2 linked regions of the Caenorhabditis elegans genome follow. The protein of the gene in region 2 purifies or fractionates together with the protein of the main gene of each other region. This does not show direct contact. Each region holds a gene or a part of one and is shown on either strand. Other genes may lie near its edges. The genes, in order: ufd-1 and C39B10.4.

Region 1 (4,087 bases), on a different chromosome or scaffold from region 2:
CTCAAACCTCCTGGAGTGAGAACTCCGACAAAGAACTGATCCACCTCTTCAATCTTCAACATCCAGCCATTGTAGGCAATTATGGTATTTTATGTTTGTATCCCAACTCGTATAATTTGTTTCTCCGTTCTCTCGATTTGCTTCAGCTATCCTACTTTCTTTTTTTTTGTATTTTATTCGATTCTTTCGCCGTATCAATAAATTAGTATTTATTTTAATGATTTTTTGGTGTTGTAGATGTAATTTTTGTATTGAGACTTGACTTTTTCCTGCAGAATCTTGACTATTTTCGAGTGATCTTTTGTGAAGCTATCGACTATTTGGACCTTTTTCTGCAAAAAATAGAGTTGGCTTTCAAAACAGCATTTTCTCCAGGTTTTTTCATTCATAGAAGTTTGGATAAGAAACCACTCCACCCATCACTGACATCGCTGAAGGTTCATCAGCTTCATGGCCGAGCTCCTTGAATATTGAATTTTTCGATTCAACAAAAAAATTTCAATTGAAAAAGTCCATTTGTGTGTTTTCGGAAGCACAGACGCTAGCCAGAATTTATGATCTAAACAAGTTCTGCAATTTTTTAAACCTTACAAGGCATTTTTGTAACAAGTGAATAGTTCTATAATATTAGTTATTTCATTTTTTTCTCCGGAGATCTCCTTCAATTTCATCTCTGAATCACACTTATCAAAGAATAATATATTCAAATAAATTTATCCTGTACAAAAAAGTGGCGATGAACTTTTACAAGGTTATGTGAAGTGAAAGATGTTATTCATAGCACAATTGGCCAGATTCGAGACATTAACGGGCTCCTCTCAGTGTTCGATTGCCTCCACGGAAGACATTTGACGGTTGTCCTGCCTTGCTGGCTTCTTTCTCTCGGAGCTCTTTTTCGAGAACATCAACACGTTTATAATCATAACGAAGGAATGAAACACGACCTGAAAATCATAAAATTTAACTTTTCAATTATTTTGAAATGTTTATTTCAGATGAAACAAGTATTACCTGGTTTGTAGTCTTCATTGACAACCACTGGTGGAATAGCTGGCAAATCATTCGCCACTGGAGCTGCATTACTCGTACTAACACCGGTTCCATCTGAGAGTGATACTGAAGATGATGGCTTCTTCTTTCCATCGAGACGACGCCCAGCTCCTCCGAATACAGAAGTTGCATTTTGTCCTGTCCCTCCACTACCACCAGCTTTTTGTCCAGCTCCAATAAATGCGGATGCATCTGGCGCAGGCGGCTTGGCAGTGACAGCAGGAGTCACCTGTCTCGGTTGTTCAACGTAGCCTTCTGGAGGATCGAAATCGAGATTAACATCACATTCAATGATGCACACAGAGTTGGCCGGTTTCAAATCAACGACGAGGAATTCGAGAGTTTGTCCAGCATATGATGTTGGGATCCGATCGTTTTTGGTGAGGCATGCATATTTTCGAAGTTCCACTTCAAGAACAGCTCTGAAAAATAGAAAAATATAGGACTTTGTTCAAAAACTTCAAAAAATTATTAGAGTTTATGAAAACTCACTTTGGATTAGTAATATTCAGAAACTCGAGTGACATCGGCTTCAATTTAGCAAACGTGGCTTTCGGAAGAGTTGCAGACTCAATGCGAATGGTATCTCCATCGTCAAGTCCCAATTGCTGCATCATCCAAAGTGGCAGAATGGCTTGTCCTTCTGGAGCAGAAAATTCAAGAACACCGCAATGAGTTACACGTTGAACAGCCATATTGGTTAGCTGTAAATTTTAATGGTTTTCTAGTTACTTCAAGCTATACAAAACAAACCTTGAAAAGCATTGGCATCGGAATATTATATTGCATGAGCAAGTTGAGAGCAGATGACGGCAGAAGAATCTTTCCACCATAATTGATTTCGCTTATTTTTGACTGTGTTGCATTGGGAAGGAATACGGGCCCATATACCTGAAATTTAATTGTTTATTAACGCTGAAATATAATCTTTGAAATCCAATTTATTATTTACAATGAGATCGAAATGACGAGTAGTTCGGCGAAGTTGTTGTTGAAAAAAGTTTGCAAACATCTTTCGAAATGAATTTTAAAAGCTCACCACAAAAGTTTGATCATAATTCCCGACTCGGCCGCCCATCTGCATCCCGTGAAGTCCTTGTTGTATCCACGCTTGCATTTTTATTTTTGGTTTTCTGAAAAGTTATTAACGTTTTCTTCAACTATAATTCAAAAAATACAAAGAGGATGAGCCAACCAAGAAAAGAGAGCTCATTGATCATTTAAATATTTAACAAACTGCAATTTATTATAGAAAGAAATTACTAAAATGCACGTGTGAAGGAAACTTGACAAAAATTGAAGAAAAACACAATGAACAACATGAAAAAGAGAATGCGTGAATGGATGATGATATTAAAACCGATTCCTGCAACGACAAACGCGCTCCGTTGAACAAAAAAGAAATGGAACAACGAGAAAACCGAATGTCGTGTACAGATTTTTGTGTGGAAACGCGCAAAGATGTAGAGGGAAGAATTTAACCGTCACAAACAACGCGAAAAAACACTAGAAAGAACAGGGTATAAATGAATTATCGAGCTGAATGCCAGAAATCATGAAGAGAAGTCAATAAAATGAAGAACGGAAAAAAAGGACGACAAAAAATGAAATAGCATATAAAATTTCAACAACAAATGGAAACAAAATGTATAGAAGGATGGATATGATGATGGGAAAGAAAGAACATTATGAATAATTATAATTATAATAATAAAGTTAGTGAAAAGGAACAAGAAAGTAGGAATTCATCAGATGAAATGGAAGGAAAACAGAAACTTTGATAAATTATGAAGAAAATTGATCATTTTTGTGATAACAGATGATCACATATCGAATGGCTCGTCCATGTCTTGTTCGAGCCCGGTTCCGTAATATCGATCACCAAAATTGCCCATTCCGGGAATCAGATAGCAATTTTCCGTCATTTGGTGGTCCATTGCGGTGGTGATTAATTTAACCTGAAAATTAATAATTTTTAATTCAAATAAAAAATTGTAAACCTTCGGGAAGGCATAAGCCAGTGCATGTGCACCTTGTTGACCCATAAGCAGAGATGCAACAAATATGTCTTCCTCTTTAACATCATGATCAAGAAGTACACGAATTGCCATCATCGCAGCACTCCCAGTAGTTACGGTGGCGTCCATAATGATAACTTTGTATCGAGTTATGTGTGGTGGCAAACGTATATAATGAAGTTCTGGATCAAACGTCGTCTCGTTGGTTTGAATCAAAATTTTTCCGATCACGCAGTCCTTGACGATTGAGCGAAGAGCAGTCTCCATACATTCGCCGGCTCGCATGATTGGAAGACCACAAATCTGAGCGTCCTTTCGTTTGCCAATAGTTCTGAAATAAAAATTAAAGTTTCTAGATGGTTGAGCCTATTTTAGACGTTTTCAATTGTTTAGTTTTCAAGTTTTATTTAGAAAAAGTTTATTCTTATATTGGAAACAATAGAACATTAATATCCGAATATCCGAAACCAAGATCTGAAACTTTGCAATTCTTAAGCCGAAAATACGGTAGCCGGTCTCGATTCGACAGATTTTTTGCTGAAAGAGCGCCTTTAAAGATTACTGTAATTTTAAATTACTGCAGAATTTTTATTGATTCTTTGTAGTTTTTCTATAAAAATTATTTCTGTATTAAAAAACTTGATTGAAACCATAAACAAAACTTAAAATAAAACAAAAAATCCGCAGTGATAAGAAATTGAAACTACAGTACTATTTCAAGGCGCACACTTTTGTTTAACAAACATTTGTCGTGTCGAGACCGGGTACCGTATTTTTGCAGTCAGATTCAGAAATTTCAGAAAGGTTGGCGCTGATTTCAGATTTCAAAAAGGAATTTTCAAATCTTGCAGTGACCATTTTTCAGTTTCAAATTTACTCACTTTCTACCGCCGGCCATCTCAATCTCAACATCTTTGTAAGGCATATGATTCATGCATTCTTCAATAAGAATACGCATTAATCGATCAGAATAGAAAATATGATTGTCTCTACTCGTTTCTCGATCACGAACAAACGTG
Region 2 (3,027 bases):
TGTGTCTTTCGTTCATAATCGAGTGAGCTAAAAATGAGCATATAGATAAACACTTGGCGTCCTGGACTATAAATATAAAATACATTGGGCACCCGCACAAAGTTGATTACAGTGAGTCGCACCAAAAATTCCGAAGTTTTTAGAATGCATTCCGCATACTTTTTACATACTTCAAGATCTACTGCTAAATTAATAAGAATTGTGTGAAAAAAATGTATCTCGTTTGAACATGGCTCTCTGCAGTCTTTGTTCGGTTCATATACCTCGATCACGAAAGCTGAAACAGATAAAACTTCAACTTCAAAAGTATTTGTTCAACTCGTGAAATTTTTCACAATTTATTAATTTCGTCTCATAAAAAAATGGCGATGAAATATAATACAAAAAACCAAGAACACGTTTGATTGCATATATTGAAGAACAAGTTGTTAGTGAACGCGAATCTTAAATGGGAGGATAACATTTGAACATGTTGTACCTATGGAAGACGGTTTATTTCTGCAACAAAATTTAGTATTGTTTGTATTAATCGTGAAAGAAAACCTTCAATTTTTTGTGTGAACTTTCACCAAGTTCACTCGAACTTTTTCCACCAGAACTTTGCATTCCATCGGTAGAACGTTGGTTTCGAGCCTCAATAGAGTTTTTCATGGTACTGATTGTGTTTTGCTCTTTACCAATCTGATCTTTCCCTAAAAAGGAGAAAGTTAATTCAACACTTTTTTAAGGCTACTTACAAAATTCTAGAAGCATCTTACTTTGTGAAAGACATCCACTTTTAAGGTGAATAGTATCAGAGTACAAGCTCAACCTTCGTTTCTGGAATTCTAGCGTACTTGCTAAGTTGTATTTTGTGATCGTCTGATTTTGGATAAACTCAGTTTGTTCTTGTATCAAAACGGCGTTTCTGTCTACAAGTTCCTTCAGAGAAGCTTCGTCCAGCACCTGATCAGAAGACATTCCTTAAAATAAAAATTTCATGGTTCGGGTAGGTTTACAAAAATTTTTGAGAAGGGCTATAAACGCCAAAACGTCTTCAAGCAATATATTAAATAAAAATATTCTCTCAACAAAATCATTCATTGAAACATGTTGATCATAATTAATTTAAAGTCTCAAAATAGATGACAAAAGATAAACAATGCCGCCAGAAGATGTGATCTGTAAATGAGAGGCATTATATAGTTTTTGTGACAGTCACATTTCAAAATCTTAAATATTTTGAAAACTACTCAATCAAAACATTTACTTGACTAGCTTTTAGACTTGCTTCACATATTCAAAAACTAACTATGATGTTTCAACAGAATTTGTTTGCTTTGTTCCAATTGTTTCCTTTCCGGTACGATTATTTTTGTGTCCTCTGGTAACAGTCTTCTTATTTACCGTTTGAGGTGTGGTTTGAGAAATATTTTTGACCTCAGTAGCTGAGCTGCAAGTTGCAAGACTCCCATGCTCAGTCATGAATGCACCGGGGTTCATAATTTCCTTCAAGTTAGCGGCCACTTTTTCCAACTCCTCGTATTCTTTTGTCGCTGAAATTTGAATTTCAGTATTCTCCGCTCGAAGTAAAACTAACCTTTTTTATTCTCATCACGCTTTTCTTCAAGTTCCTCATCGTATTTCTTGGACGCATCTACTAAAAACGTGAGCATCTCTTCCTGTCTGGCGACGCGTTCTTCCATGGACTGTATTACATCTGTATTGCGTCTGATTTCGGCTCTGTGATGCTGAAGGTCAAGATCTTGGAGCCGTTTCGTCTCCAATAGCTGTTGGTATTCTTCGTTCTCATTCATGTCAGTTTTGTTGCTTCCAAGCGATTCTGCAAATAAATTGGCGTAAAAAATGAGAAAAATAACGAAAAAAAGTAGTCCTTATTAGTTTCTAACTATGAAGTTTAATTGTTTATTGGTTCAACTTCATGTTATGTTATTATGTTGTTTCAGCCCTCTGAACAAAATGTATTTTGTGGAAATGAAAATATTAAAATTGTGTTTTAGAAAGAACAAGAACAGTACCAACAAAGTAAAAATTGTGTTGTTGGTGTAAATAAAACAGGAAACTATAATTTGACAAGCGAGCTTAAGCAGGAAGCTAGTGATAAACATAATGACAAAAAGAATAGTCTAAAAGACACTCAAACGAGTTATTCGCCGAGTATTGTATGAATTGCACATTCTTGATTAGTCATCATCATTGTGATTATACGGCAGTTGCTAAGACGTTGGATAGGAGTTATGAGTATATTTCACAACAGACGAGCAACACTTGGAGGGATGACAACAAACTTTCTGGTAGAATGGGCCAATAGCGCGTGAGTAAGTAATTGTGAGATGAGCTGTGTAGCATTATCTTTTAATACTATTAATTTTATCGGGATACATGGAAATTCTCTATATCCCTAGTATATTTGATTTATTCTTATGTTCAAAGAATAAAAATTAAACTAAATTTTGCAACTAGATTAATAAACCCACAAAAAAATTGGCATGAAAACTTTTCAACTAAGGTAGTTTTTCCTGAAAATGCATATTTGAAAAAATGAATCATGTGATAAATTTTTACAAAACATCACGTCCTTCGTAGTTGCAACGGCGCTCTAATGTCAATTTCTGCATAATTTGAATTTCGAAACCAAATTTTAAGATGTTCATGATTTGTTAGATAGCATAAAGGTAAATGTAGACCGTTAAAAATAATTAAAATCAAGGTTTCTGTTACTGATGAAATTTTGATCTGGCCTACAAATCCTAGGACAAAAAATAAACTCTCGTTTGTACTCTAGTCCCGAAAAACAAAACTCCACTTAAAATACTGAAATAGAAATTTGGAAAGTAGAGATGCAGAAAAATACCTATTATCGCGTTTGTAATATTAGAAAGGTAGATGGAGAGACTGAGCCTAAGAAAAATAAACAAAACCGCACAAGTATACATGACATAATTATATGTTTTGCTCTTACAAATCACAATAATATGATGAAAGAAAGTGCATAACGTGCCAAGGCTCCCAAAATATATGAAAGCA

Evidence for each region.
Region 1: the proteins of C39B10.4 (region 2) and ufd-1 fractionate together in Caenorhabditis elegans (co-fractionation; one large-scale study listed by BioGRID). This does not show direct contact.

What each region holds. Positions count from the first base shown.
Region 1 is NC_003282.8:12,328,708-12,332,794, forward strand, and holds ufd-1 (Ubiquitin fusion degradation protein 1 homolog), read right to left. Parts: upstream 2,184-4,087; 5' UTR 2,168-2,183; coding exon 2,090-2,167; intron 2,069-2,089; exon of another isoform or gene 2,063-2,068; coding exon of another isoform or gene 2,003-2,062; intron 1,942-2,002; coding exon 1,804-1,941; intron 1,755-1,803; coding exon 1,543-1,754; intron 1,473-1,542; coding exon 1,012-1,472; intron 945-1,011; coding exon 805-944; 3' UTR 701-804; downstream 1-700. Other genes in the region: F19B6.1 (Uridine kinase), read right to left, coding at 2,874-3,008, 3,051-3,399, 3,950-4,087. UniProt on the Caenorhabditis elegans protein: Functions at a post-ubiquitination step in the ubiquitin fusion degradation (UFD) pathway. In association with npl-4.1 and/or npl-4.2 and ATPase cdc-48.1 and/or cdc-48.2, involved in the cytoplasmic elimination of misfolded proteins exported from the ER.
Region 2 is NC_003284.9:10,442,938-10,445,964, reverse strand, and holds C39B10.4 (uncharacterized protein), read right to left. Parts: upstream 961-3,027; coding exon 759-960; intron 693-758; coding exon 526-692; downstream 1-525. Other genes in the region: C39B10.3 (RAB6-interacting golgin), read right to left, coding at 1,291-1,535, 1,580-1,796.